Linked DNA regions of Pelodiscus sinensis. The protein of the gene in region 1 interacts with the protein of each later gene in a pairwise test. Links are inferred from orthologs where the notes say so. Each region holds a gene or a part of one and is shown on either strand. Other genes may lie near its edges.

Evidence for each region.
Region 2: the proteins of VAMP5 (region 1) and ERGIC3 interact in binary tests that used the Homo sapiens proteins (3 or more experiments, as listed by UniProt). The link is inferred for Pelodiscus sinensis from reciprocal best matches to the Homo sapiens genes VAMP5 and ERGIC3.
Region 3: the proteins of VAMP5 (region 1) and STX16 interact in binary tests that used the Homo sapiens proteins (3 or more experiments, as listed by UniProt). The two-hybrid records come from large-scale screens. The link is inferred for Pelodiscus sinensis from reciprocal best matches to the Homo sapiens genes VAMP5 and STX16.

What each region holds. Positions count from the first base shown.
Region 1 is NC_134738.1:5,428,916-5,439,392, reverse strand, and holds the start of VAMP5 (vesicle-associated membrane protein 5), read left to right. Parts: upstream 1-5,265; 5' UTR 5,266-5,512; coding exon 5,513-5,515; intron 5,516-10,477. UniProt on the Homo sapiens protein: May participate in trafficking events that are associated with myogenesis, such as myoblast fusion and/or GLUT4 trafficking.
Region 2 is NC_134728.1:31,052,934-31,063,410, forward strand, and holds the start of ERGIC3 (endoplasmic reticulum-Golgi intermediate compartment protein 3), read left to right. Parts: upstream 1-5,235; 5' UTR 5,236-5,479; coding exon 5,480-5,567; intron 5,568-7,684; exon of another isoform or gene 7,685-7,818; intron 7,819-10,477. UniProt on the Homo sapiens protein: Possible role in transport between endoplasmic reticulum and Golgi. Positively regulates trafficking of the secretory proteins SERPINA1/alpha1-antitrypsin and HP/haptoglobin.
Region 3 is NC_134728.1:12,905,474-12,915,950, reverse strand, and holds the start of STX16 (syntaxin-16), read left to right. Parts: upstream 1-3,187; 5' UTR 3,188-3,579; coding exon 3,580-3,714; intron 3,715-7,996; coding exon 7,997-8,008; intron 8,009-10,477. UniProt on the Homo sapiens protein: SNARE involved in vesicular transport from the late endosomes to the trans-Golgi network.

The DNA.
Region 1 (10,477 bases):
GCTCTGTACCGCCTGGAGAGTCCTGGCAGGAATTGCCCCACCCACAGTGCCCCCTGCTGGGAGCGGCTGGGGCTGGAGAGCCAGGAGCTCCCCCCACTGCCCTGCCCCTCCCCACAGTGCCCCCTGCTGAGAGAGGCTGGGGCTGGAGAGCCAGGAGCTCCCCCCACTGCCCTGCCCCTCCCCACAGCGCCCCCTGCTGGGGTGGGCCTGCAGAGTCGGACTGTGCCCAGGGAGCAGGTGGGGGGTGGGTCTGTGATGGTTCTTTGTTCCTGGGGGAGTTGGGTGTGGGCCCTTGCCCTGTGGGGCTGAGCACAGGACAGGTGCCCTGCCCAGCAGCCAGCCCGGCACCTCCCAGATAGGGCTCTGCCAGGCTGCCTGCCTCCCACCGCTGCTTGGCTAAAGGGAAACTGAGGCACGGAAGTGGCTTGTCAGGGCCGTGCCAGAGCTAGGAAGAGCCCAGGGGTCCTGCAGCAGTTTCTCCGTGAGAGCTAGGTAAAGCAGCGTGTGGCTGGGGCGAGTGTGGGCACAGGGCAGGCAGCGGTGCCAGCTCCAGTGACACCCCCCCATCCATGTGCGCTGCTCTCATGTGACCCCACCCCTGCCATTCCCATTGTCTGGTGCTGAGAGCGGCTGGGGGGGACCTCAGCGACCGTCCGCCTGGAAGGCTCCTGTCTCTGGCCCTGGCTGGTGGGGTGTGGGGACCCCTCCCTCTGCCCCGGGACTGGCTGCTGTGGGAGCCCGCACACTGGGGTGGCTGGGCTCATGGGGCAGTGGCTGGGGGCAGCTGCTGCTCTGGGCTGGGCTCAGGGAGGCAGCCGGGATCGGGTGGAGGGGCAGCCCCTGGGAAGATGGGAGCAAGTGTGGCCATGTGGGTGCTGCCGGGGGCTCTCAGGCACTGGCTGCAGCTCTGGGGGCTGGTGCCACGGGGTCCCTGCCAAGGCAGGATGGCAATGAGCTAGGGGGCCTGTTTGGCTGGGCTTGGCCCCCCTGCACTCCAGCTCCACCCCCCAGCCCCTGCATTGGCCCCTGCTCCCCAGCTCAGGCCCTTCTGGGTCCCATCAGGGCCGTCCCATTGCAGTCAGTGCCTGACACAGGCAAAGTCCTGGGCACTTTGCCCAGAGCCTTCCTCCCCCTCAGTGGCCCTACTGCCCCCCAGCCACACTCCCTCCTGGGCCCGGGAGCAGCTCCCACCAGGCTCCAATACCTCAGTTACCCCCTGCCTCGCTGCAGGCCCCCAGCACAGCCCCTCTGCACTGCACCCCCAGCCCATTCCTCCTGGGAGGGAACCTGGCTAGCACCTGAGACATGGGACCTGCCACACCCAGCCAGAGCTGCCATGTGGAGCCCCCATTCCTGCAAAGGACCACTCAGAGATAGACCAGGCCTCACCCATGGACCAGGACCACGCCCCTAAGCTGCCACTGGCACACACTGTGCCCAGATCCTTTTATACCCTCGGTCTCCTGGGATTCAATCCACAGCAAACTACTATAGAGCCCTGTGAGGGAGCATTGGGGTCCCCCGATCCTGCACCCCCATAGCAGCAAGAACAGACTCCACAGCCAGTAGAACAGGGGGCTTTATTGCTCCTCCGGGATACAGCATGGCACAGATGTGATGTGGCTACAGGAGCCAGGGCCAGGATGCCTCAGACCCCTTAGGGTAGGGGGTCCATCGCCCCCTTAACCCTCAGCTTAGTCTGTTCCCTTCATGTTTCCCAGCCAGGAACTGCCTCACTCCCAGCCCCTGTCCTCCCCTCCCCTCCCCCCCCCCCCCCCTCCAGCCAGCTGACCGTCTCTACCTCCCTTTGTCTCTCCCCCTGGGAAGAGCCTTATCTGCTCAGGCTGGGACTAGGTGTCTGGACCAATCCACGTGTGGGTGAGTCAGTGGGAATCGCATCACAGCGTAGGGGGACCCCGATTACAGAGCAGACAGCCCCCCACTACATCACAAGCCACCATTAGGTTTCAGAGTCAACACCAGAGCAGGGGGATGGGGCCCTCCACACACCCCTCCACACTAGCCACTTGCAGACGCAGGGAGTCACCTGCCAGCTCCTTGCAGTACCGTGGCTGGAGCCTTAATTACCATGTAACATGCTGAGGCCTTGCGCCAGCTCCCTAAGCCAAAGAGCTGGCCAAGGCTGGCTCCTGAACTGCCAGCAGCTCCAGCCAATTGGGGGCCAGGTCCCACTCCCCGCCCCTTGCCAGCGGAACCCTATTGTAATTCGCAGGGGGACCGTGCAGCAGCTGAGCTGGGTGTCAGACAGGAAGTGTCAACGGCCCAGCACTTCCCGGCCCCAGGAGGGGGGAGGCCTCCTTCAAGCCGCTTCCCATTAGGTAATTGAACAGTAAACAACCGTCCTGCTGGAGCAGTAGCGGGGGCTCCGCATTCTGCCCCCCCCCTGTAACAGTGCCAGTCACAGGGGACCCCAGGGCCTTGGGGGTGTCTGACTCCCAGGATCCCCAGTGCCACTGGTGGGCCCCCCACATGGCACAGCTGGGGTCCTGCAAATCACACTGGGGATGAGCCAGGGTTGGTGCAGAGGATCCCGGGGTTTCGGCCCACCATGCTCTGATGGAGCCCGTGGGTTGTAGGGCACAAGGCACTGCCATGGGTCGCCCGCCCATTGGGTGGCACCACGTGCCAATACCAGTGTGGGCAAAGCCTTTCTACTGCCCCTGCAGCATGAGGGCAGAGGAGCGGCTACAGCACTGGCAGGGCCGGCGCCGCAGGGGTGTACGGCACAGGGCAGTCATGGGGAGATCCACCCATCTGCTTCCGGGCAGTGGCAGGTTTGGGCCCTGAGCAGAGGGCTGCAGTCGGGAGCATCTCAGCTCACAGACAGTGAGGGGCCAGTCTTCCAGGAATGTATCCAGCTCTGTGTGGAGCCCTGTGATATTTTTGGCTGTTGCAGCATCCCCTGGCAGTGAGTTCCACAGGTTAATTGTGCCACACGTGGGGGGAGGGAGAAAAATCACCTCCTCCTCTTTGTGTCCAACCTACTGCTCTTCCTGTCAGTGCAAGGCTCCTGGGGTTTGTGTTGGGGGAAGGGGAACTACACGTCTCCATTCACATGTCCCGCCCCAAGCAGGTCGTGGGGCCTCTAGTGTATCCCCTCGCCGGGGTGCGTCTCCATTCTAAGCTGAACACCTTGAAACCATGCAGCCTCCCCCCGCGGAGCTGTCCCTCACCTTGTGCCCTTCCCGCAGGCTTGGCCGGCTCCCCACGGATCGACACGGGGTGCTGGGCGTTTCTCTGCTCTGACTCTCCTGGTCCCGGCTGGGGTGGGGCTGTCCCAGGGCTGCCGAGTCTCCTTGAGCAGGAGCAGCGGCTGGCCCCCGTCCCTCGCTGGGAGGAGCTGGGATTGGTTTTCGGTGGGCAGAGGCTTTGAGGTTCCCCATAACTGCTCCCGGCTTTGCTGACAGGCAAATGGCACTTCCCTGTGTGCTCCCTTTTCTGGACCGCACTGCCCAGTCATGGTCCAGGTACAACCGGGGACCCCGCTCACCGCTCTGCTTGGGGGGGGCCACCGAGTCCTGCCCTTTGTCCCCACCTGGCCAGGGCCTGGCTGCTTCATAGAACCCTAGAAGCCCAGGGCAGGCAGAGACCTCAGGAGTCATCGGGTCCAGCCCCCTGCCCAAGTCAGGACCAATCCCAACTCAATCATCCCAGCCAGGGCTTGGTCAAGCTGAGACTTAAACACCTCTAGGGATGGAGATTCCACCCCCGCCCTAGGGAACCCAGCCCAGCGCTTCCCCACCCTCCTAGGGAAAGAGAATCCACCATCTCCCTAGGGATCCCATTCCAGTGCTTTAACACCCTCCTAGTGAAAAAGTTTTGCCTAATATCCAACCAAGACCTCCCCCCCTGCAACTTGAGCCCATTGCTCCTTGTTCTGCATCTGCCCCCACTGAGAACAGCCTCTTGCCAGCCTCTTTGGAACCCCCCTTCAGGAAGTTGCAGGCTGCTCTCAAATCCCCCCTCGCTCTGCTCTTCTGCAGACTGAACAAACCCAAATCCCTCAGCCTCTTCTCATAGGTCATGCTCCAGCCCCCGAATCATTTTCATTGTCCTCTGCCGGACCCTCTCCAATGCGTCCACACCCCTTGTGTAGGGAGGGGTCCAGAACTGAACACACCACTCCAGATGTGGCCTCACCAGAGCCAAATAAAGGGGAATAATCACTTCTCTAGATCTGCTGGCAATGCTGCTCCTAATGCCCCCCAATGTGCCATTAGCCTTCTTGGCTACAAGGGCTCCCTGTCGACTCATCTCCAGCTTCTCGTCCACTGGAATCCCCAGGCCCTTTTCTGCAGAACTGCCACTTAGCCAGTGAGACCCTGTCCGTGGCCTGGGCCAGAGTGACAGGAAAAGCTTCTCCTGTTGTGAGGCTCCAGCCACCCCGGGGAGCCAGGTGGGGCCACCCAGCCTGCCTGTAACTGACGCACTTCTCCCTCTGTTGCAGGTTGGGGAGGAGCCAGGCACCCTGCTCCCCTCTGGGCTTTGCTCAACTTCCTACTTCCTCTCCCCTCCACCCTACCCCCCCGCTGGCTGGGAGTCCAGAGTTCACCTGGGTGCGTGGAAAGTAACCGAGGTGCCCACTGGAGAACCCAAGCTGTTCCCTAGGGTGCCTATGAGAGACAAAGCAGCAGGTGCCCCCGCTCCTGCCCACAGCTGCTGATCAGCCTCTGCTCCCGCATCCCCGAGAGCCTCTCTAGCCCCCTCGCAGCTGCCCCCCAACCTTGTCTTCCAAGCTGCAGGGTTTTCATGCAGCCGTGTCCACATCCCGCACTCTGGGCACCCCCGGGCCTGCCTCCTGTTGCATTCGGGACAGCTGAGCCCTGGATTCCCTGCAGCTCCTGGCAGGCGGAAACCGAGTCTGAGGGTAACCTTGAGACTTGTCCTCCTGGAATTGGGCCTGGCTCGAGCCCCTCCCCCACAGCTCTACAGCAAGTCCCAACCGAGGCGCCATTATCCCCTTTGTGCACAAAGGGAAACTGAGGCACCGCAAGGGGCGGGGATTTGGCCAAGGTCAGCTAGCAGGGCAGTGGCAGAGGCAGGTGAGGAACCACCCCCATTCTCCTGCCCAGCTCTGGGGCCGCTCATCTCGCCCTTCCCCGCCCTGCAAGACCCACCCCAGGCTCAGGAAAGGGGTGAAAGTGGAAAGACAGAAGGAAAGAGACAGAGAGGTCAGCGCCCGCCCCGCCCCCTGACGTGACTCCGGAGTGACGCCCAGTGCGGGACCCCAGCCTGGAGGGGCTCCGGAGTGGACAGGGCAGGGTGGAGGGCCCGGCGTGCGCTGCGGGCGGGGCCGAGCCGGCTCTAGAGCGCTCTTCGCCTTTCTGGGCGGGCGCTGCCCGTGGCCCGGCCCCGGCCCCTCCCTCCTGGCTCAGCGGCCGCTGTGGGGCAGGCTGGAGGCACCGCACCGCAGCCAGGAGCCCCCGAGCGGCTGGCAGCGCCCAGGACGGCGGAGTGAGCGGCGGGGCCAGGCGGCCTGAGATCCGGCGCCATGGTGAGGGGCGCGACGCGGGCGGCACTTTCGGTTTCTGGGCGCCTCGTGGGGCCTGTCCGGGGCCCTGCGCCCGCGGCGGTCCGCTGGCCCCGGCCGTGGGGCTCCCGCTGGCGGGGGCATGAGGGGCTGTTCGGGGCCTGCCCCCCTTCGAAATCGGTGTCTCCTCCCCTTTTCCCGGACTTGTGCCATCGCCAGCGGCTCCGCTCCCTCCCCGCGCCCCCACCAGGGCTCACATCCTGCGCTTTGCCCCAGAGCCGGCTGCGCACGGACCAGCCCTGCGCCTGTGGGGGCTGACGGGGTCCCCGCTGTAGGGCCCCGGGGCCCTCCTAGCCCTTCACCACGCAGGTCGCCGCCCTTACCCCCAGCGACCGTTGGGGAAACTGAGGCACGCAGCAGGGACGAGACGGGCCCAAAGTCACCCAGAACTTCAGTGGACTAGACCTCCCATGGGCCAGTCCCATGCTCCGTGCACTAGGCAACGCTGCCTCCGGGGTCACCCTCCCTGCGAGGGGCCTGGCTCTGGCCGCCGAGCCAAGAAGCCCCGTGCTCCAGGCGGGGAGAAGCGGCGTGTCGGGCCGGGGCCGGAGTTACGCAGGGAAATGGGTTTGCGAGGCCAAGTGCCCTGGAATGCGACATGGGGGGAATAGCCCCGCAGCCCCTGCCCGGGGAGGGCGCAGCCAGGGCGCGCGGAGGCCCCAATGCGCAGGACGCGCTCCGGAGAGCGGCCGAGGCCCCGCCGAGCTCGGGGAAGCCGGGCCCCCTGGCTGGGCCATGACCCCCGAGAGCCTCAGCCAGAGTGGGGCCTGCTATTGCGCGTGGGCGTCGCGCTGGCCCCTGGCACTGCCCCTGCTGAGTGCAGCAGAGCCGGGCAGCTCCCCTGGCAAACCCTTCCCCAGGGGCAGCCAGCTTAGGTGTGCCAGCTCTAGGGGTCCGCCCCCCGGATCTCCCATAGTGCCCCCCGGATCTCCCATAGTGCCCCCAGCTCTAGGGGTCCGCCCCCCGGATATCCCATAGTGCCCCCCAGTTCTAGGGGTCCGCCCCCCGGATATCCCATAGTGCCCCCCAGTTCTAGGGGTCCGCCCCCCGGATCTCCCATAGTGCCCCCAGCTCTAGGGGTCCGCCCCCCGGATATCCCATAGTGCCCCCCAGTTCTAGGGGTCCGCCCCCCGGATCTCCCATAGTGCCCCCAGCTCTAGGTGTCTGGCCCTCCTGGATCTCCCATAGTGCCCCCCTGCTCTAGGTGTCTGGCCCCCCGGATCTCCCATAGTGCCCCCTGGATCTCCCATAGTGCCCCCCAGCTCCAGGGGTCCTCCCCCCAGCTCTAGGGGTCCTCCCTCCCGGATCTCCCATAGTGCCCCCCAGCTCTAGGGGTCTGGCTCCCTGGATCTCCCATAGTGCCCCCCAGCTCCAGGGGTCCTCCCCCCAGCTCTAGGGGTCCTCCCTCCCGGATCTCCCATAGTGCCCCCAGCTCTAGGTGTCTGGCCCTCCTGGATCTCCCATAGTGCCCCCCTGCTCTAGGTGTCTGGCCCCCCGGATCTCCCATAGTGCCCCCTGGATCTCCCATAGTGCCCCCCAGCTCCAGGGGTCCTCCCCCCAGCTCTAGGGGTCCTCCCTCCCGGATCTCCCATAGTGCCCCCCAGCTCTAGGGGTCTGGCTCCCCGGATCTCCCATAGTGCCCCCTGGATCTCCCATAGTGCCCCCCAGCTCTAGGTGTCTGGCCCCCCCCCGGATCTCCCATAGTGCCCCCCTGCTCTAGGGGTCCGGCCCCCCGGATCTGCCATAGTGCCCCCCAGCTCTAGGGGTCCTCCCCCCAGTTCTAGGGGTCCTCCCTCCCGGATCTCCCATAGTGCCCCCCAGCTCTAGGGGTCCGGCTCCCCGGATCTCCCATAGTGCCCCCTGGATCTCCCATAGTGCCCCCCAGCTCTAGGGGTCCTCCCCCCAGCTCTAGGGGTCCTCCCCCCAGCTCTAGGGGTCCTCCTCCTTGGATTTCCCATAGTGCCCCCCAGCTTTAGGTGTCTGGCCCCCCCGGATCTCTCATAGTGCCCCCCAGCTCTAGGGGTCCGGCTCCCTGGATCTCCCATAGTGCCCCCCTGCTCTAGGGGTCAGGCCCCCCGGATCTCCCATAGTGCCCCCCAGCTCTAGGGGTCAGGCCCCCCGGATCTCCCATAGTGCCCCCCTGCTCTAGGGGTCAAGCCCCCTGGATCTCCCATAGTGCCCCCAGCTCTAGGTGTCTGGCCCTCCTGGATCTCCCATAGTGCCCCCCTGCTCTAGGTGTCTGGCCCCCCGGATCACCCATAGTGCCCCCTGGATCCCCCATAGTGCCCCCCAGCTCCAGGGGTCCTCCCCCCAGCTCTAGGGGTCCTCCCTCCCGGATCTCCCATAGTGCCCCCCTGCTCTAGGTGTCTGGCCCCCCGGATCTCCCATAGTGCCCCCTGGATCTCCCATAGTGCCCCCCAGCTCTAGGGGTCCTCCCCCCAGCTCTAGGGGTCCTCCTCCTTGGATCTCCCATAGTGCCCCCCAGCTCTAGGTGTCTGGCCCTCCGGATCTCTCATAGTGCCCCCCAGCTCTAGGGGTCCGGCTCCCTGGATCTCCCATAGTGCCCCCCTGCTCTAGGGGTCAGGCCCCCCGGATCTCCCATAGTGCCCCCCAGCTCTAGGGGTCAGGCCCCCCGGATCTCCCATAGTGCCCCCCTGCTCTAGGGGTCAAGCCCCCTGGATCTCCCATAGTGCCCCCCAGTGCCTGGGGCAGGTTGGGGGAGGCCTGTGTTCTGTCTCACCCATTCTGATCCCTGGGGGTATGTCTACACTACCCCGCTAGTTCGAACTAGCGGGGTAATGTATGCATACCGCACTTGCTAATGAAGCCCGGGATTTGAATTTCCCGGGCTTCATTAGCATAAGCGGGGAGCCGCCATTTTTAAATCCCCGCTGCTTCGAACCCCGTGTAGCGCGGCTACACGGGGCTCGAACTAGGTAGTTCGGACTAGGGTCCTATTCCGAACTACCGGTACTCCTCGTGAAACGAGGTGTACCGGTAGTTCGGAATAGGCACCCTAGTCCGAACTACCTAGTTCGAGCCCCGTGTAGCCGCGCTACACGGGGTTCGAAGCAGCGGGGATTTAAAAATGGCGGCTCCCCGCTTATGCTAATGAAGCCCGGGAAATTCAAATCCCGGGCTTCATTAGCAAGTGCGGTATGCATACATTACCCTCCTAGTTCGAACTAGGAGGGTAGTGTAGACATACCCTGGGAGATGGGCCTGGCGTGGGTTTGTGATGGAGTGGGGATTGGGGGTGTTAATCTGCTTTGCCTGGCAGCCTGCCCTGGCCCACCCCTCCTGGCACCCCCATGCAGCGGGGGAGCAGTGGGGAGCGGGGGACCCCTCTGCGCTGGAGGCGGCTCCCCTCTGCGATCACTTTGAAAGGGGGTTTGTTCTGGGCTGGTCCTCGCACCTAATGGGACAGAGGGGCCCCCCTGCAGGCTGGGCGGGGCTGGGCCCGGTTGGGCCCAGCTTAGGGCTGCTGGGTGTCCTGCGGGGGTGGGGTGGGGGGTGGAATTTAAATTATGCAGCGAGACTCCCTGGGGCCATGAGTGCCCCTCCGCCTCCGCCGCTCCTCCCCTGCTCTGGGCCTCGGTTTCCCTATCTGATGACGCAGGATCCGAGCGAGCCCTGTGAGCTCTGGCAGGCAGCCTGGCACCAGTGCCAGGGGGCTCTGCGCCCCGCACAGTGGAGCTGGCAGCGTGGGGGCTGGGCCACAGGGGAGCCGGGCTCCACACAGACCCTGGCCCTTCGCTTCCCTGCTCTGGTCATGCTGTGGGGCAAGGGATGCTCGGCCGTGGGGGGCAAGGGGAGTCTGGCCGTGAGATGTGGGTCCCTCCCCCTCGAGGAACCCACCTGTCCATGTCAGCAGGGGCTCAGCACGTGCCACCAGCCCGGCGCTTCCTCTCTGAGCCGCTCGGAAACCCCCTTCGGCCAGGAGGAGCCTCAGGTCTCAGCCCCCGGCCATCTGGGCTGTGGCCACACTCTGGGGAGGGGCTGCTGCTGTGGGTGCCAGTCCCCCCCGGGAGCGGGGCCCCAGAACCTCTCTGCCTGGTCGGGGGGCTGGGGGTTTGTCCCACTGCAGGAGGGGGGCTGAGGCCAGAGGTGGCGAGTGGCCTGAGGAGGCCACAGAGGGCCCAGCCCATGGCAGGCGCAGTGCTGGGAATTCCCTGCCCGGCAACTTGTTTTTCCAGCTCTTGCCACCTCCGGGCATCGATCACAGGGGCCCAGAACAAACAATAGCAACTTGGCTGGTTCCCGTAAACATCCACCCGCTGCCGCGCGGCCCAGCCGGACGTCCAGACAGCTCGGCCTGCAGGAAACCGCCCGGCTCAGGGCTGGCTCCAGGCCACGGCCTGTGAGAACGGGCAGAGACCGCACAGTGCTCCCCAAGCCCCGCACAGTGTACCCCAGCTGCTACCCCAATCCCAGCCCCCGCACAGCGTACCCCAGCTGCTACCCCCAAACCCCACACAGCGTACCCCAGCTGCTACCCCAATCCCAGCCCCCGCACAGCGTACACCAGCTGCTATTTCAGTCCTAACCCCTGCACAGCGTACCCCGGTTGATACCCAATCCCAGTCCCCGAACAGCATACCCCAGCTGCTACCCTAATTCCAGTCCCCGCACAGCGTACCCCAGCTGCTATCCCAGTCCCCGAACAGCATACCCCAACTGCTGCCCCCAATGCCTGCACAACGTACCCCACCAACTACCTACAACCCCAGCTCCTGCACACCGTAACCCAACTGCTCCCCCATCCATGTGCTTCACCCCCACAAATCCACATCTTCCAACCGAATCCCTGCCCTTCTGGAACTTGGAGCCCTGTGCCTGCTCCCACCTCACCCCAGCCGCTCCCCTTACAGCCCCAGGCTGGGGCCGCTGCAGAGCCGCAGGTGCTCGTAGATGGGGGGGGCTCGG
Region 2 (10,477 bases), on another chromosome or scaffold:
CCTAGCTCCTGCATGGTCCTTTTCCTCCTCCTCCTGGCCACTGGTAGCCCCGTAGTGGCAGGCAACAGGCGTGGCCCAGCAGGTGTGGAAGTGGCATCCAGTGGAATCCCAGGAGCTGTGTTCATTGTATTGCCATGGGAGGGTGAGGGGAGAAAGAACCCCCCCACACACACCCTTTGCTTTGTGTGTGTCCACAAGACTGACTGCCTATGTGCTGGGATGCTTCTCTACCCCTCATTCATAAATTCTCAGGGCCGGTCCATCTCCCTCCTCTCCTGGGCAGATTTACACCCGCACATGCCCAGCCAGTGCCAGGGGCTCGTGGCTGAGGCGGGAGAGCTGGGGGTGGACATATACGCTATGGGAGGGAGCTATCGGTTAAGAAGAGAGGCATTATTAGGAAAGTACAGGTGATTCTCAGAGTTACCAGCTTCTTAGGAACGGGGATTGTTCATAACACTTTAATGGTCTGGTGGTTCTTTCAGAAGTTTTGAACTGAACGCTGATTTAATGCAGCTTTGGAACATTATGATGCAACAGAAAAATGCTGCTTTCCCTTTTGTTTTGCTAGTAGGTTTGGTTTAACACAGGACTGTCCTGCTTTTGCTTTTCTCTCTGTCTGTCTCCTGCTGTCTAATTGCAAATTGTTGGTTCCAAACGAGGTGTGTGGTTGATTGGCAGAGACGACACATGTATGTGGGAAGGCACAAGAGGTCACATTCCCCAAAACACCACACGATCCCAGAGGGGGAACTGTAGACTGAGCCCACCCGAACGGGGAACCAAAGCTCGAACCTTAGGGCTTCTGCCCTGGGCAGGGGGCATGTAACCGTAGCCCCAGGTGGGGGGGCATGGGCTTGGCTTTCAGACTTGCTGGGACCCAGCACCAACACCAGCCTTAGCGGCCCGCTTTGGGGTCCCGACGCACAGTGTGAGAACACCGGGTCCAGTGAGATCTGTGTGAACAAAGCCCGAGCAAGCCTTATGGAACTGGCCTTACCAGTTTTGTGTCAGCAGAGGGCACCAGAGCCCAGCCCTGGGCCACAGCAGGACCTAGGCAGGGCTTGGCAGGGCTGCTAGCACACTGCACGGGGTGGGGTGTGTGTGTGTGTGTGTGTGCGCACGCACGCAGGGGGGGTGTGAGTGTGCAGAGGGGTGTGTCTGTGTGTGTGCGTGCACGCAGAGGAGTGTGTGTGTGTGCGCGCAGAGGGGTGTGTGTGTCTGTGTGTGTGTGTGTGCAGAGGGGTGTGTGTGTGTCTGTGTGTGTGAGTGTGCAGAGGGGTGTGTGTGTGTGTGTGCAGAGGGGGGTGTGTCTGTGTGTGTGTGCACAGAGGGGTGTGTCTGTGTGTGCGTGTGCGCGCAGAGGGGTGTGTGTGTGCAGAGGGGTGTGTGTGAGTGTGTGTGTGTGTGCGTGCAGAGGGGTGTGTGTGAGTGTGTGTGTGTGTGTGTGCAGAGGGGTGTGTGTGAGTGAGTGTGTGTGTGTGCAGAGGGGTGTGTGTGTCTGTGTGTGTACAGAGGGGTGTGTGTGAGTGAGTGTGTGTGTGTGCAGAGGGGTGTGTGTGTCTGTGTGTGTACAGAGGGGTGTGTGTGAGTGAGTGTGTGTGTGTGCAGAGGGGTGTGTGTGTCTGTGTGTGTACAGAGGGGTGTGTGTGTGTGTGTGTGTGTGTGTGTGTGTGGGCTCAGCACGGCATCGCCTCCCCAGCCTGCTCGCTTTGGCGCCAGTGTCAGTGGAAGTGGCCTGAGACGTAGATCACATAGTCCAGCCACAGAAATGGCAACCGTTGAACGGAGCCTATTGCTAATGCTCCCGAGCCGGGCAGCCCCCCACGCGTGGGCGCCCGTAACCAGGCTCCGACTGGACTGTACCCACTACAGGTAGCTAATACTGAGTTAGCTCGGTTCGTTTGGGTCCCAGGGCCGCTGCCCCTTCGGGAGCCTGAGAGCCCAGTCTGTCTCACGAAGGCCCCACCAGGCCTTTGATTAGTAACCCAGCCCCTGGCACTAGTGAAAGTTACCCAAGCTCAGTCAGAGGGGCCCAGGGAGAGACACAAGCTGCTGCCGAGAGAGGCCCGAGTCCGGGAGCGAAGGGAACCAAGCGGGTGAGGGCTCTGGGGAACCCACCAGATTGGGGAGCCTACAAGAGGTGCCCTTTGAGTGGGAGGAGCCTCCTAGGTGGTCGGCAGGTGTCTAAAATGGCCTACTCCCAGCCAGCAGGTCTCCCTGGGGTTGGCTGGAAGCCTTGGCCAGGCTCAGCTGCTGTCCCTGGAGAAGCATCGCAGTGACAGATCTCCCCGACGGGGGCCTAACCCCAGGGGCCCGCGGAAGAGCCTGGACAGAGGAGAGCTCTGGCCTCCGGTGGGGGACGAAGACTGGCCTGGCCCCCCAGCTCAGCTGCAGGCGGGAAAGCTTTGTGTGCCTTGTGCATTAGTTCTTCTGTCAGGAAAAGAGGCCTGCAAAAGAGGCAGGCACCTAGTGGCCAGTCTGGACTTGATGCCCTAGCTGAGGGACTGTGATGGGCTGTTTGCTCCCTACACTGGCCCTGAGGGGGCAAATCAGGCCTAAGTAAGTGCCCAGGCTGTAGGTGGAGGAGGAGGCGGGGAGCAGGGACTGATTAGATCCGAGGCTCAGTTGGGCAGGGACAGGCAAGGCCTATAAACCAGGCAGCTGGCGCCAGATGGGCTTGCAGGGAAGGAGCCTGCAGTCATACCCTAGCAGAAGGGCAGGGTGTCTGGGCTGGAGGCACTTAGTCTCTGGTTAGTCCTTGGGAGGGCAGAGTCTGCACTGGCAAACCCAGAGAAGGGGGAGAGCCAGAGAGGTGAAAAAGGCTCAGGGAGGTTATGGGGTTGGTCAGTTCTTGGCTGCTGTTGAGAGGGCCCCTGAGCTGGGACAGGGATTAGAGAATGGGGCTTGGGTGTTTCAAGCACAGGCCTGGGCAAAATACTGAACGCAGAAACGCAACTGCGGGGCACTGTCTCTTTATGAGTCCGGAGGGGAGGGGGGAAGATTCAGATGCTGCTTCCACCCCCAAACACAATCTCATTGACCAGTTTCTGGCCAGAAACCGGCCAATAGGAGCTGCTTGTTTGAATAACAGGCAGCCAGGAAGCAAAACCCCTCTCCCCTCCTGCTCAGTTACTCGCTTAAGCACAGGGCTGAGCAGGCAGAAACATTTTAAGCTCTGCAGGTCTTTAGCTCTGCCGGCAGGCAGGCTGGTTTGGCTGCTGGCTGGTAAGTCTCCTGGCCAGAGCCTGCCTCCGGCACTCCAGCCCCTCCCTGCCCCAACCGTCTGCCCCCAGCTCCTGCCCCGCTACTCACACCCACACCCCTCCCAGATCTGGCACCCTAATATTCTGCCTGAGATTACAATCCCCTCCTACACTAGATCACATCTGGCTATGGAGATGAAAATCGATGATTTTCGTGGAGGCTCAGGTAACTGGGTTTACAAATTTATGAGATGAAACAACCTTTCAGTTCAAGCACGGACAAGTGTTGGGCAATGGCTTCCTGATGAATAGGAGAAGATGGATGATTTCAGAGATTTTATCCATCAAGAAATTAACCAGCTGGGCCTGAAACCAAATGGCAGCATTAACATGGACGAGGTGCCCATGTCCTTTGATATACCTGCAATTCGGTCGGTTGCTGCAACTGGAGTGAAGACAGTCAGTGTAGCAATCACAGGTAATGAATGCGCCTGTTTTAGTGTCGTATTGGCATGTAGGGCAGGTGGTGAGAAATTAAAACCGATGGTAATTGTTAAGAGAGTGACGATGCCTCAAGAAAAACTACCAGCCGGCATGTCTGTGGTCTGTAACAAGAAGGGATGGATGAACACAGAGGTGATGAAGATGTGGACAGATAGCTGCTTTCATGCACAAAAAGGCGGGTTTTTAAAACCCAAATCTCTGCTACTTTTTGATGCCTTGGCCGCCCATAAAGAAACTTCAGTTCAAAAACGTATAAACACTGATTAGGCCTCAGTTGGAGTATTGTGTCCAGTTCTGGGCACCACATTTCAAGAAAGATATGGAGAAATTGGAGAAGGTCCAAAGAAGAACAAGAATGACTAAAGGTCTAGAGAAGATGACATATGAAGGAAGACTGAAAGAATTGGGCTTGTTTAGTTTGGAAAGACTGAGAGGGGTACATGATAGCGGTTTTCAGGTATCTAAAAGGGTGTCACAAGGAGGAGGAAGAAAAATTGTTCTCTTTAGCCTCTGACGACAGGACAATCAGCAATGGGCTTAAATTGTAACAAGGGAGGTTTAGGTTGGACATTAGGAAAAAGTTCCTAACGGTCATTGATTAAACACTGGAATAAGTTGCCTGGGGAGATTATGGAATCTCCATCTCTGGAAATAGTTAAGAGCAGGTTAGATAGACATCTATCAGGGATGGTCTAGACAGTTCTGGGTCCTGCTATGAGGGCAGGGGACTGGACTCGATGACCTCTTGAGGTCCCTTCCAGTTCTAGTATTCTATGATTCCTGAAGAGAGGTTCCAAAGAGGATTGGGAAGTAGTGACGGATGGCAGAACAAGGCACAATGGTCTCAAGTTACAGTGGGGTGGTCTAGGTGGGATATTAGGAAAAACTATTTCACTTGGAGGGCAGTGAAGCACTGGGATGGATTACCCAGGGAGGTGGTGGAATCTCCATATTGAGAGGTTTTTATGTGTCGGTTTGACAAAGCCCTGGCTGGGTTGATTTAGTTGCGTTTGGTCTTGCTTTGGGCAAGGGGCTGGACTTGAGGACCTCTGGAGGTCTCTTCCTGCCCTAGGAGTCTATAAAGGAGTGTGGGTTACGAAGGGAGGAGACAGAGGCCTGAGGGGTTCTGCGGACTGGGAAAAAGGAGGGATGGGGCTGTGGAGAGAAGGCGGGGGGGCTGCAACTTTCCTGGCTGCTTTCTCCAATCCCTTCTCACCACAGTGGCAGCTTGGGCTGGAGGACACAGGGTCTGAGGGATCCCATGGCTGGCGGGGTAGTGGTGTAGGGGGAAGGGAGGGGCGGGGGTTGGGGCTGAGAGATCCCCTGAGATCTCCCACTTGCTGAGACACGCAGGTCACAAGGTTATCACAGCAGGCAGCACTTTGGAAACTACAACTCCCAGGATGCATCGCGGAACGAAGTGACTCCCCTGGCGTTCCGCGTCCAGACTGCTCACGTCACTTCGTCCTTCACCAACTTCCGTTTCGCTAATGGAAGCTACTCGGGGCGCCCAGGGCGGCAGCATAGGGAGGGAGAGTCCAGTGTGGGATTGAGGCTGCGCGGGGCCCGGCAGTCTGGGGGGGGGGTGATGCCCGAACCCATCAGGGCTGAAGCGGCCACCCCACTGCCGCACCGTGGTCCCGGCCACGCCCCAGCACAGGGCGGGCTCCCAGGGTGCCCTGCGCCGCGAGGGGCTCCGAGCGGTCCTGCCCGGAAGTAGGGTCTGGCGCCCGGAAGTGGTTTTAGTTCCGGGTCGGGGTCGCTTCACTATGGAGTCGCTGTGGAGGCTGAAGCGGTTCGATGCGTTTCCCAAGACCCTGGAGGATTTTCGGGTCAAGACCTGCGGGGGCGCGTTAGGTGAGGGGGGGGCCGGGCAGGGGGGGGGACGGGCGGGGGGACCCGGCCGGTCCGAAGTTGTTCTGTGGGCTCAGGCCGCCACTTCCTCCGGGCCCATGGCTGCTCCAAGCCGGCGCCCTGTGCGCGGGAACGGGCTTCCCGGCCTCCCGCCCAAGGCAGCGGCGTCGGGAGCCGCTGGAGTCTGGCTGGCTGCAGCGCCTCCCGTGCCCGCAGGGAGCTGCCGCACTGCCCTTGGAAGGGGCCCGCAGCCCCTGCCTGCGCTGTCCCTGTAGGTCACTTCACCGCCACTCACTGCTGGCGCCCTGCGCCTCCTCCCCGCCACCATTACAGTGCAGAGTGTTTGATCATCTCATATCCAGGCTGGTGTCCCCAGCTGGAGTTTGTGGGCTGGTGCCACATGGGGTAGGAGGGACATAGATCCCTGCTTTCAGTCTGGTATGCACACATGCCTTCCTCCTGACTGATTCTTTCTTCCCTGCTTCCTGTTCTTATTTTTCTCCATTCCTCTTGTTTTTACCACTCGGAGGCGTAATCTGACCAGTGCTAGCTCAGCCAGCGACAGCAACAAGGGATGGAGTAGGGTGGAAGCTGTTCATTCTTTATTCAGGCCCCAGAACTTGGCCTAGAACCTGTTTCACAGTCATATGGTTCCTATTTTAACTCTGAAGGTGATCAGTGGGCACAGTACTTGACTCCTCCTCAGCTTTAAAACTTCAAATAAAGGAAGCTTTGGGGGTAGCTGAGTTAGTCTGTACAGGATAAACTTAAAAAACCACAAATGGTCTGGTAGCACTTTAAAGACTAACAAAACATGTAGATGGTATCATGAGCTTTTGTGGACACAGCCCACTTCTTCAGATGACCAGAGTTTTACTTTACAAATAAATTGTGTGCTTCCTTCTGCCTATGTCATCCTTCCAGGCAAGATTCTGCAAGCTCTCGGTTTTTTTGTTAGTTGTTTTGTTTGGGACGTTTTAGGCAAACCATTGGTGTTCCACTTGCACCCTTATACATCTTACCCATTTGAACTAAGACATGAGAGACTGTGTTGTGCTTTAAGACGTGCCTATTTGTATCTGTGTAGAATACCCAAGTATTTATATGCAGAGGTTCTGTAGTGCAGAAATGTAGAGCAAAGTAGTGATTCAGTCAGTCAAGTAGCCTGTTGGTGACAGTAGCCAGTACAAACTAGTTCAGAGCAAAGAACAAGAAACCTCCCAATGGGTTATTCTGGAATAATCAACATATAGGGAAGTTATTGCTGAGTCTTGCCAGGTGTTGGCTGATGCCGTAAAGCAGGAGGGTTTGCCTTATGCAAATACATATGTTTAAATAATAAAGTCAAAAGCATCCTATAAGAAGAATATTGAAGTAGCAAAGTCAATTCCTTCAAAATTAGGAAATACCAGAGTCAAGGTTGCCCATGACATCTTAATGCTGTCACCTCCCTCCTCCCCTGCCAGTGGTCTGTTATGATACTGTCTTTAATTATATGAGCCCATATGGTTTTCCAAAGGATCCTGGCCTTGTTCTGGAATAAGTAGTGTAATGGAGCCACAAAATAAATGCTATCCAGGTTTGAACAGTCTCTTGGAGGAACCCCTTGGATGTACCAGATCCCCAGGAATCTCATCCTTCCCTCAGGGTAGGTCATTTGGCTTGACTGCCTTCAAAGATTGAACCATTGAGGCTTCAGTACTGCTGCTTTGTACTGTGAGTTCAGAGAGTTCACATCCTTGAAGATCTCCTGAGTAAGTCAGGGTTGTCTCTTGCCATCTTTCCAATGTTTCCTCCTCATTGGGATAGTTTTCTTTTGTGCAATTAATAATGTGTCTTTAAAAAACTGCCTGCTCTCCTGAGCACTTTTTCCTTACACTTGCTTCCCACAGGATAATCATAGAATTTGACGAGACCTCAGGAGGTCATCAAGTCCAACTCCCTACCCAAAACAGGACCAACACCAACTAAATCATCCCAGCCAGGGCTTTGTCAAGCCGGGACTTAAAAACCTCTAGGGATGGAGATTCCACCCCCGCTCTAGGGAATCTATCCCAGTGCTTCACCACCCTCCTTAGGAAATCTTTTTTCCTGATATCTAACCTAGACCTCTTCCACAGCAACTTGAGACCACTGCTCCTTTGTCTGTCATTTGTCACCACTGAGAACAGCCTCTCTACATCCTCTTTGGAACACTCTCCCCACCCAGAAGTTGAAGGCTGTTATCAAATCCTCCCTCACTTTTTTCTTCAAGGTGAATTTGATTTTAAATAAAATTTATTTAAATCACTACTCCAGGAAGACTGGATTTAATCATGGTATTCTATATCATAGAATCATAGAGCTGGAAGAGGCCCCGGGAGGTCATCAAGTCTAGGCCCCTGCCCAAGGCAGGACTCCATCCCAACTAAATGAACCCAGCCAGGGCTTTGTCAAGCTGAGACTTAAAAACCTCTAGGGATGGAGATTCCACCACCTCCTTAGGTAACCCATTCCAGTACTTCACTACCCTCCTAGTGAAATAATTTTTTCCTAATATCCAACCTAGACCTCTCTCACTATAACTTTAGACCATTTCTCCTTGTTCTGCCATCTGTCACTACTGTGAACAGCCTTTCTCCATCCTCTTTGGAACCTTGCTTCAGGAAGTTGAAGGCTGCTATCAAATCCCCCCTCACTCTTCTCTTTTGCAGACTAAACAAACATAAATCCCTCAGTCTCTCCTCATAGGTCATGCGCTCCAGCCCCGTAATCATTTTGGTTGTCCTTCGCTGGACCCTGTCCAATGTATCCACATCCTTTCTGTAGTGGGGGGCCCAAAACTGGACACACTAGTCCGTATGTGGCCTCCCCAAAGCCGAATAAAGGGGAATAATCACTTCGCCGGATATGCTGGCAATGCTCCTTATAATGTACCCTAATATGCCATTAGCCCTCTTGGCTACTAGGGCACACTGTTGACTCATATCCAGCTTCTCATCACTGTAATCCCCAGTTCCTATTCTGCAGAATTGCTACTTAGCCATTCGGTCCCCAGCCGGTAACAATGCTTGGGATTCTTCCATCCCAGGTGCAGGACTCTACACTTGTCCTTGTTGAACCTCATCAGATTTCTTTTGGCTCAATCCTCTAATCTGTCCAGGTCACTGTGGACCCTATCCTGCTCTTCAATGTATCTACTTCTCCCCCTAGCTTAGAGTCATCCGCGAATTTGCTGAGGGTGCAATCCATCCCTTCATCCAGGTCTTTAATAAAGACGTTGAATAAAACTGGTCCTAGAGCAGATCCTTAGGACGCTCTGCTAGAAACCGACTGCCAACCTGACATCAAGCCGTTTGTCAGGCCCAACGGGTAGTGATCATCTAGCCAGCTTTCTATCCATTTTACAGTCCATTTATCCAATCCATATTCCTTTAACTTGCTAGCATGTATATTGTGGGAGACCGTGTCAAAAGCTTTGCTTAAAGTCAAGGTCTATCATATCCACTGATTTTCCTATCTCCACAGAGCCAGTTACGTTTATTCTTGTTGTTTTTTCTACCCTTAATACATATTTTTCACAACTCAGAGATAGATGTAGGTTTCATTTTTAGAAGGTACACACTACACATTTTAAATAGTGATTTATTTTGAAAATTTCTCAGATAAGTTTTATAGCTACACCTGAAAATGAATGATTTCATTTACCAAAGGTAATTGAAGCAGACATTTATGAATCATTGGTGAGATCTTTTTGAAGCTTTTCACAGTCTGCTTTGGTCTGAACTATCTTGAGTAGTTTGGTATCATCTGCAAATTTTGCCACCTCACTGCTTACCCCTTTCTTTAGATCATTTATAAATAAGTTGAATAGGATTGGTCCGAGGACAGAGCCTTGGGGGGGGAACCCCACTAGTTATCTCTCCACTAGGAAAACTGACCATTTATTCCTACCCTTTGTTTCCTGTCTTTTAACCAGTTCTCAATCCACTAAAGGACCATCCCACTTATCCCATTATAACTTACTTTACTTAAGAGCCTTTGGTGAGGGACCTTGGCAAAGGCTTTCTGGAAATCTAACTATATAATATCTACTGGATCCCCCTTGTCCATATGTTTGTTGACCCCTTCAAAGAACTCTAGCAGATAAGTAAGGCGTGATTTCCCTTTACAGAAACCATGTTGACTTTCCCCCAACAAATTATGTTGATCTAAGTGTCTGACAATTTTATTCTTAACTATAGTTTCAACTAATTTGCCTGGTACTGATGTTAGACTTACTGGTTTGTAACTACTGGCATCACTTCTGGAGACCTTTTTAAATATTGGCATCATATTAGCTATCTTCCAGTCATTAGGTATGGAAGCCAATTTAAAGGATAGGTTACAAACCACAGTTAATAGTTCCGCAATTTCCCGCAAAACTCTTGGGTGAATGCCATCTGTTCCCAGTGACTTGTTATTGTTGTTTATCAATTTATTCCAAAATCTCTTCTAATGACACCTTAATCTGGGATAATTACTCAGATTTGTCACCTAAAAAGCATGGCTCAGGTTTGGGAATCTCTCCAGGTTAGTTGTGCAGTGCTGCCCCTTGAAATGCCTCCTCGGCATTTGAAAGGGATAGCGCCACATAGCTGAGCCAGGGATCAGCTGTGTGGCACTGTCCCTTTGAAACACCGAGGCAGCGTTCAAAGGGGCAGCGTCGCACAGCTTGTCCCAGGATCAGTCGTGCGATGCTGCCGTGTGTAGAGTCCAGGGTAAACTGGGGAGTCCCCAGCTAACCCCAGCTGCAGTCATGTAGGGACTCCCCAGCTAATCCCGGGTTCTACTGAAATGCCACACGGAGCCGGGGATCAGCTGGGGAGTCCCCACATAACCGCAGCTCTGCGTGGCATTTCAAGTCGGCAGCGAGGCATGGAGCCTAGGGGCTC
Region 3 (10,477 bases), on another chromosome or scaffold:
GATAGTAGAAGATCACCTCCCAGAGACACAGTGTGGCTTCAGAGCCAACCGGGGAACCACAGACATGGTGTTTGTCCTGAGGCAGATTCAGGAGAAGTGCCGGGAGCAAAACAAAGCGTTGTACGTCACCTTTGTGGACCTGACAAAAGCGAAAAGCGTTTGACACCGTTAGCAGGCAGGGACTTTGGAAAATCCTGGAAAAACTAGGCTGCCCACCGAAGTTCCTCACCATGATCATCCAGTTTCATGAAGACTAGCTTAGACAAGTCAGACATAGCAGCGACCTCTTGCAGCCTTTCCCTATTGCAAACGGTGAAACAGGGCTGTGTTTTTGCTCCCACACTGTTCACCATTTTGTTCAGCATGATGCTCCAGCAGGTCACAGAGGACCTCGACAACGCTGATGGCGTATACATCCGTTTTCGTCTCAACGGGAGCATGTTCAACCTGAGGCGTTTGCAGGCCCACACAAAGATCATGGAGAAACTGATCAGGGAGCTGCTGTTTGCTGACGATGCCGCCCTTCTTGCTCACACAGAGGCAGCTATGCAGTGAATTACGTCTTGTTTTCGCAAAAACTGCTCAGATCTTCGGTCTTGAAGTCAGCCTGAAGAAGACTGAAGTTCTTTATCAGCCTGCACCCCACAAGGAGCACCATCCACCAAGCATCTTCACTGAACAAACAGAACTGAAAGTTGTCCACCAGTTCAGCTACTTGGGGTGCGTGATCTCGTCTGACGCCAAGATCGACAAAGAAGTCGATAACAGACTGGCTAAGGCAAACAGTGCATTCGGCAGACTATACAAACGTGTCTGGAACAACAGCAACCTCAAAAGAGACACGAAGGTCAGCGTCTACAAAGCTGTTGTGCTGACCACTCTCTTGTATGGCGCTGAGTCCTGGGTCACGTACCGTCGTCACCTGAGTCTCCTCGAACGTTTCCATCAGTGCTGCCTCCGCACAATCCTCAATATTCATTGGAGTGACTTCGTCGCCAACACTGAAGTCCTCGAGTTAGCGGAGGTCACCAGCATCGAGGCCATGGTCCTCAAGATACAGCTTCGCTGGGCAGGGCACATCGCCAGGATGGAGAACCACCGCCTACCCAAGATCGTGTTGTATGGGGAACTGTCCTCTGGCTTCCGCGACGTAGGGGCACCACGAAAGCGGTACAAAGATTCCCTGAAGAAGTCCCTCACTGCTTGTTGTATCGATCACCGTCAGTGGGCAACACAAGCAGCTGATCGCAACTCCTGGCGGCATACAGTCCACCAGGCCACCTCCTTCTTCGAAGATACCCGCAGGGCCTGTATGGAGGACAAAAGGAGAAGGAAGAAGAACCGTGACCCCTCAGCACCTATCCCGGATCAGACCTATATTTGTAGCCGTTGTGGCAGGACCTGCCTGTCCCGCATAGGCCTTGTCAGCCACCAGCGTGCCTGCAGAAGACGTGGATTTCTTTCCTAGATCCTCGTTCGCGAAGTCAAGCCATGATGATGGACAAATTAGATAGAGATTTCTGTGGAGTTCAAGTCCCATTGGAATGGTGCGCCTGGGTCCTGAGGCAAGTCCCTTTGACTTAGCCTTCTCAGAACTCATCTGACCTCAGTGTCTTTATTTTTTAAGAGTTTGGCAGGTGTACGAAAGGCTCAAGGCAGGTGGGTGGGAGGCTCAGGACTAAGGAGGGAGATTGGCAGGCGAGTTAAGGCTTAGAGGAGGCCCAAAGCCAGCTGGGTCTGTGCTGTCCTGCCAGCGGCTCAGTCCCAGGGAAGGGGTGGAGCTGTGCTGCCCTGCTGGTGGCTTCTCCTGTGGTGGGGTGCAGCGGTGGAAGCTATGCTGTCCAGCTCTGCCAGGCAGATGGTCCTTTGGGTGGGGACGCTGGCCAGCGGGGTTTCCTTCCCCCCCACTGGATCCGAATGCCAGGGAGTTTGGCTTGAGGCTTTGAGAGAGGGAGGCCACATACCCAGACAGTGGCCTACAACATGGAAAGCTCCAGCCCCAGCTGGCCACTCTCTTACTGGTGCAGCTATCCCTCTCTGGTCACTCTGGAATAATATTGTTCCCCTGCGCTCACTGCCCCCTTAAGGTCACTGAGGAACATAACTGTCCAGAATATTAGAACTCTGCTCTTCTGTGTTATGGAAAACAATCTGATTCCAGGCACATCTCATTGTCCTGGAATCTTGCTTTAAGTTATGATAAGAGGAAGCTGCATACCAAATGTGGTGATCCTAGCTCTTATGGTTTAGGAGGAGTTCTTGAACAAACGGACTCACAGATGGAGACAGACAGACAGACAGAAACCCACATTTCTAAAATATATAGTAGAGAAGATTTTGGGACCTCTTCTTGAACAGTTCTATTGCCTCCATTCAAGACTCTAGAAATTTGCAAGGTGAGAGGGATATAGGCCTCAGTGCTGCAAAGACTTGGGTGTGTCATTTTCAATGGTCTGATGAAAATCTGTTTTGGTTTTGGCTGAATTATAAAGATTTAAAATATATTCTTCACTCTAGTCCCTGTTACTCTGATGCTTATATAAGTGTTTCCAGCTGTCACGATTTTACCCAGAACCTTGCAAAGGCTAGCACTTCTGGAGTCTTGTAATTATACGAGAAGCTCATTTTCTGCACTCTTGGTTGCAATGAAAAGCTGAAGCATGTAAACAGGAAATGCTGGGAAACCAGAAGGCAAATCAGCAGAACCCAACATGTGTGTGTTTAACAGCTCAGGCTTTTAAAGCCAAATCTCATGATTTGGGGGCCTGACACATAGTTTCTGTTTTGGGGTGCCAGATGGTTTCAACAAAAATACGGGACACACTTGATATTACATCACAATCTACATCTTATTTAGAAAATTCCAGACATTTACATTTTCTCAATTTGTTTCCCGAACAGAAAGCTCAAATACTGGACTGTCCTGTTCAAAACCCAACACCTGGCAGCCCTATAACATTCTGCATGCTTTAGCCTACTAACAGTTTGACACTTCCCCCCTTTTTGGAGCTTAGTCGCAGAGAGGTTAGTGAACCAGCTGCTGCCCTCCCGTTAGGGCGCCCCACTTGACCCCTTTTGCCCCAAACAGTGCAGACTCGGGAGCCCAGCCAGACCGCCCTGGTGCCGGAACGTTAGTGCCGCGGTGCGCGGGCGGGGGGAGGCAAGTACTAGTGATGCACAACGCGGAAGTGAGCCGGGCCGCAGTCAGATCCGGGGGGGGGAGGATGGATGGAGCCCGGGGCTGCCACACGGGGCCGGGGCTCATTCCCGCTCCCTAGTCCCTGTGAGCGGCGGGAAGGAGCCGCCGGGGACTGGCGCTGCATCCGCCCCGGGATATCCGGGCTGAGCTAGGGCGGGAGCCCCAGGCAGGCCCCGCGGGGGAGGCTCAGGGGCTCCCGGGAAAGGGGGGGGGCACAGGTCTGACCTGGGAGCCGTTAGGTGGGGAAGCCATTGGGGGGCCGGTCGGGGGGCTGTACATCTCGAAGGGGAGTTGAGGAATCCGGGGACCCCTGGGAGTGCAGGGGGGGTTGAAGACTCGGGCCCCTAGGAGTGCACGGGGGCCCCCCTAAAAGTAGAGCCATGGCCACCCGGCGTTTAACAGACGCGTTCTTGTTGTTGCGGAACAACGCGATCCAAAACCGGCAGCTGCTGGCCGAGCAAGTGAGTAGTTACAGCTCCTCCAGCCCTCTGAATTCACGTAGCATGGCTGCTGCGGTGAGTCTCCTCCCTTCATCCTACTGTATCCCACACTGGCTGCTCTAGTGCTATCTGCTTAGGACTGTCAGACAGCAGGTGTCCTCCTTGTCTCCTCCCTCCTCTCTTCATCCCATCTCCTAAGTCACCCCTTCGCCTCACCTTTCTCCCCTCAAACCCCCCTTCCCCTTTCTTCTCCTCACCCTGCTCTTTTTTTCTTACTCTACAAGCTCCCTTTTCTCCAATTGCCTTCCTTCTCTCCTATCTCCTCTATGTCCCACACTTCTAACACCACCCCCCTGCCCACTGTCCCTGCCCCATGTAAAATGAATAGAATATATATGTCATTTCTTATTGATCTTCTCTGTTTGCTCCTTAAATAATAAACTTTATTATTATTATTTAAATAGCCTCATATTATCACTAGACATTAAGTTGTTGTCTTTCCTTTTTCTCCTGACCCCGCCCCCTTTTTCAGGTAAAAGGAATAAAGCTATCTTTTTCATTCTGATCTTTTCTCACTTTGCTGTAGGCACTGTTAAAACCTATAATGCAAATTGCCACCGTTATTTTAACCCTTTCTTATTTTGAGACGTTCTCTTTTCTTCCTTTTTCAAAGTAAACAGTCATTTAAACATCATTTCAACTATTTGAAAATACTTTATAGTAAAATAGTAAAAGTAGAAGTTAATTGGACTGCAGGCACAAGAGTACACCTGTGTACACCACTTTGCAGGATGGATGCTTGGAGTGTATTCTCTCCATTGGTAATATATACATAGAGCGCACGCGCGCGCACACACACACACACACAGACACACACACACACACACACACACACCCAGCGTCTGAGGCCCCAGTTTCAATGCTTTAACTATGAAAAGTGAAAACCTTCCATTTTTTCCCTTAATTTCTTATTATTTCCTCTTCTGTGTTGGTTTTTATAGCTTTTGTTGTTTGTGTTCTATTGCAAAGTTGTTATAATACACAGTGCAGATACCACCAAGCACAATCCTCAAGTGCAATCCTCATTCCATACCTGTGGCTGTTTATAAATGGTCTCGTCAAATTCCAGTATTGCTTTGAATCATGTATGAAATAATTATCAAGAGAGTGAGGCTTTTGTAAATGCACATAAACAGGGCCAATTTGAATTGAGTTTAAAAATTGGGTTTCAGTAAGTAATGAAGCACCACATTTGACAGGCCAGCCATGTAGACTTCTGGTTGGTAACTGAAACTATATGGCTGTGTTGACATTGGCGCGATCTTGCACCAAAGCAGCCGCTTTCGCACAAAAACCTGCTGCCTGTCTACATTGGCGGGGAATTCTTGCGCAAGAACACTGATGTTCTAATGTGTGAAATCAGTGCTTGCGCAAGAACTATGATGCTCCCGCTCAGGAATAAGCCCTCTTGCGCAACTGTTCTTGCGCAAGAGGCCAGTGTAGACAGGCAACATGAATTTCTTGCGCAAGAAAGCCTGATGCGCAAAGGCACATGCCAGTGTAGATGCTCTTGCGTTAAAGAGTATTTGCGCAAGATCATGCCAATGTAGGCATAGCCTGTTAGTATAGCATTGTCTTCGTCCATTTCTGCTTTTAGGTCAGTCTTCTCATTTATCTAGAAAAGCCTCTTCTAAATAAATGGGTCCTCCTTTCTTTCTCTTGCTTTTCATTAATGCATTTTCTATAAGGAGAAACAATAATTAATGCTACAAATTCTGTTCCAACATAGGTGCTGCAGTAGACTAATCTTTGTCCATAGTTAGCTTTATCCTACCTATCTTTGTACAAGCTACTTACAGTATTACCTTTACAGAACAGTAAAGGTCACACCTAGTAATATATTTTAAATGTATTTTATTCTGGCACTCTGTTTGGCTTTTCTAAAATTGTATTTGTACACATAGTTATTAGAGGTTGTTAAATCACCAAGATTTTTTTAGACATTCTAAAGTTTTAATACTTGCCTAGAAAGGTTACTGATGATGAAAACAAGCATAGAAACAACTGACCAATCAGATTCAGTTTCCATTGAAAAGGTAATGGGATAGTAATACTTAGCACTTGTTTATGCTTTACATTTTCAAAGTCTTTACTGGCATTGTTGGGGAAAAAAACTATTTTGCCAAGTGCTGGTACAAATGCAGCCAACATTGGCAGTGATTGAAAAACTTAACTGTCTCCTTGTTGCCCCATAAGAACATAAGAATGGCCATACTGGGTCAGACCAAAGGTCCATCTAGCCCAGTATCCTGTCTTCCAACACTGGCCAATGTCAGGTGCCCCAGAGGGAGTGAACAAAAGAGGTAGTCATCACATAATTCCTCTCCTGTCATCCATTTCCAGCCTCTGACAAACAGAGGCTAGGGATGCCATTCCTACCCATCCTGGCTAATAGTCATTGATGGACCTAATCTCCATAAATTTATCTAGTCCTTTTTTGAAAGCTGTTAAAGTCCTAATCTTCACGACATCCTCTGGCAAGGAGTTCCACAGGTTGACGGTGCACTGTGTGAAGAAAAACTTCCTTTTGTTTGTTTGTTTGTTTGTTTAAATCTGCTACCTATTAATTTCATTTGGTGACCCCTAGTTCTTATGTTATGGGAACAAGTAAATAACTTTTCTTTATTCATTTTTTCCGCACCAGTCATGATTTTATAGACCTCTATCATATCTCCCCTTATTCTCCTCTTTTCTAAGATGAAAAGTCCCAGTCTTTTTAATCTCTCTTCATATGGCATCCGTTCCAAACCCCAATAATTTTTGTTGCTCTTTTCTGAATCTTTTCCAATGCCAGTCTTTTTCCTCATGTGAAATTAATAGTTGGACCAAGTTAGTAGTGGACAGATGTCTGTTCCATAATTCCTACTTAGTTACATCCATGTTTGTCTCTACAAGAAAGTACAAGCCGGTCCCCAACTTACAGCCACCTCGACTTATGACCATCTGCACTTATGACCAAAGCGGTCGTAAATGCAGGCTCCGAGTTACAAATGCGATCCGCGCTTACGAATAGCGCAGTCGCAATGTAACTCAATGGGTTCCGAGTTACGATCATTCCGAGTTACGGCCAAGCGTTTGGTCCATAACTCGTTCGTAACTCGGGGATCGGCTGTAAAGAACTGCATAGATTGAATTGTCTTCCATTTATCTGTTTGAGGTACCTATCACTACACTTATTAATATAGCATCTATGCAAATTGCCTTGTCCTCTGTAATATGGTGCCTCCGAAGCAGGGTTAAAGCACACTGGCAGGGTGGCAAAGTCTAATTGGTAACTACATTGTTTTTGGATAAACAGGTTCAAGAGTTGTTCATCTACCACCCTTCATAAATACAATGAATTACTGTAAAAAGTTATTTTTTATTCTGCATTAGAATAGTTCAGCCTTCTGATACAGTCATGAAATCAATGTAACTGGAATTTTAGCTACTCAGGCAAAGTTTAAATCCTTTTTTTTTTATATCTAAAGCTGAGTATATGACTATAAGAGCTATTTAAATGTAGCATGAGACACCGTTTTACCTCTGAAACATTTTGTCCTTGCTTTCAAATTAACATTTGCTTTTAATTTTTCAATTATCCTCCTGAAAACACAGTTGTTAAACTGGTAAAGTTGAAAATATATAGTAGTTGTTCTATATTTTGGTGTTTGGGTGTGGCTTTTTTGTTTGTTTTTTCCCATTTCCTCTTAAAGCGATTGTAGTGCTTATCAGTAAATGTATGTCTTGAGTCATCATTTCAAGCTTTACCCAATAAAAGTATCAAATCATAATGCATACAGGTCCTCCTATCTGTTTCTTGAATCAAATGTGTCAAAGTGTATACTGGATGTTGAATATTATGGGCACATGATCCTTGCTATATTAAACTGTTCTAGCTCACATTAAACATGTTTTACACAGCAATTCTTCTTTCTGATGGTAATCAAAGTCATATGTTAAATTGCATTTAAATCAATTTCTTGACTGTTTCTTGATTTTTTTCAAACAATTATTTTCTTGTTTACCAGCAAAAAACCAAAATACATTTTAAAGAAAAATGTGCTTTTGTGTTCCAGGGTAAATACTTATGTAGATACATTGAGAATGCTGTAATTTAATTAGCCATTATTGTTTTAAGATAATTTGTGGTTTGTTCTTGGTAAACAGTCTATTTATTTAAAAAAAATAAAGCTTCAGTACTTTCTCAACTGACTGTACCCTATCTCTGTCCTATGTGTGTGTCTCTGTGTCTCTCTCTCTCTTACCTTTTGCTGTCCCTAAATGGATGGGGCTGATGGAATCAACAAATCATCAGGAGCTGGATGAGGTATTGTTTTTTCATGTTTTGTTCCACCATGGTGCATCTAATATAGATGACTAGAAGATTTACCCAGTATTGCTTGGGTCCTTAACTCAATCAGTTTGGTTTTTTGGAAAATAAAATTTAAAATGTACATGTTTCTTTGGAATCATTGCTCTGGGGTGTGGCTGGGGATTAAGGGTTCAGTATTCAGGCTGCCCTCAGGGAGAGAGGAGTACTCGACCCTCTGTCACCATAGCATCTTGGGACAAGGTGAGAAGTGCCTCTCAGTGGCTGCTGCAGCTCCAGTGGGCACATCTGGGGGATGGGGTGCATGTCCCCCGGCTAGGACAAGTATGGATTCATCTACCCCCTGATCTCCCTAGCCATGGTGAGCAATGTGGCAAACTGTGCACTTTCCCCTCATTCTCTGACAAAGGGGATCAACCAGCAATATTCCTCTATGAATTGGGGTGGGTGGGGGAATCCTGGGGAGTAGGAGGCTGGGCTAGGGCAAACTCAGATGTGGGCCGGGATACGCCCCCAGCCACCCCTTTTCACCTGCCTAGTGATTTTGTGTCTCTTTGGTATGGTTTTATGAGACTCAGTCCCATTCTAGGCTTATTCCATTTACCAGGTATAACCCAAACTCTTACTTTGTTTTAAGTTATGATAGGAAACTGTATACTGAATTTGGTGATCCTAGTTTTTTCCATTTAGGAGTTCTTGAACAGACAGGCAGACTCTGTCAAATATGTAGTAGATGATTAGTTAGAACACTCATATTGTTTTACTGTTAATTTCTGAGATTTAACAGTGTGAGATCAGTGATGTATTTTTCATAATATAAGAATGAGGCAGCTTTTTCATTAGAGTGAAGAAGAGTTTTGTGAGACATTTTGATGTGCAGTGGGGTCATATTACAATATTACTACATAGTTACATAAAACTGTCCAGATTTACTGTGTACACGCTGCATATAAAAACTTTATACAGTGAAACCATTAACTATTATTCCTGCTTTTGTTAACTTTAGTAAGCATAGGGCTTATTACTGTGAGTAGTCCCTTAGGATTCAGTGGACTAAGCAGTGTGCCGAGTAACACATGCAGCAATAGGGTCTTTGGGAGTGTCCTTATTATCAACAGATCTTCAAAGCTTAAGCCTTTAAATCAGAAAAGCATTATATGCTAAAAACAATTAATTTGCACAACTTTTGATTATCTGCACAGCTACAAAATACACGTTGCCATCTACTTACACAAAGTATTTGTGGGATTTCTATAATGTGACATCCCCTGTTTACATGACATTTTGAAAAAAATCTCACCTTCGTGATCACATATAACCCATTTGCACTTGTACAGCAAAATTAAATGCAACCCAATCAACCTACTTTGAAATGCAGCCCAAATAAAATGAACTGAAGAAAATGTTTATCAGTAGCTTTTTCTTAAAGTACAATTATCAAATACCACTCATGCTGCTTTATTTAATTATAAATCCATTCTGTCTCTTTTCAATGTCCTATATAGAAGTCGAGTGTTCCATTTGTAGTGGCAGCAAAGCTTTGTAGCAATACTTCAGTGGAAATGAGAGGAAGCTGACTGAATTAAATTAGAAAGCATGGTCTAGTGACTAAAGCTCAGGATTAGGAGTCAAGAGACCTACGTCTTATTCCTAGCTCTGCCATAAATGTTCTGTGGACAAGTCATTTAACCTTTCCATGCCTCTGTTTACCCATTAGTTTTATAAGGATATTACTTCAAGGCTTTGTGAAAGTATTCTTTTGAGGTACTCTGAAGTAAAATGCTATAGAAGTATTAAGTAATTTATGTGATTTACTGTCCTACTTGTCTTACCTCAGAGTTTTCTTGTTTGTACAGGCCGATAATGAGCCTTACTCAGTGTAACTACTTACTGTGTTCATTTTCCTTTTTAATTACAAGTTATTTCAATCACATATAAAAAAAAAGAAAAAACATTGAAGGTTGCAACATCTAACTCAGCAAAACAGAACAGATCCAGGTGAATTACTGTGTTCTATGTGTCTAAATCAGTTTCAGATTCTTCTGATGTTGCTAGCTTTTTGGCGTAAATAGGGATGTGATAGTGTAGTTGAGTCAATAATTAACTGATAAGCAAAAGCTTATTGGTTAATGCTATTGACTACATGCATTCCCCCACCACCTAATTTTTTAGAGGGATGGCCAGCAGCCTGGGAGCTACTCCTACCTCAGCTCTACACTTAAAGTAGTTTAGGAGCCGGGTGGGCAAGCAGCCCAGCTCAGTCCCAGCTCATGCCAGGACCCAGAAACTCCCAGGACTCGGCATGAGCTGGGACTGAGTGCTTGCAGTGCTAAACCCTTATCGATTAATCGTGTAGTCGACAAATTTTTTGTTGACTACACGATTAACGGATTGTACCCTTCTTAACATCCCTAGTGGTAAAGAAGAGTGGCAGGAAAGGCACCAAGCAATTGCTAAGGCAAGGAA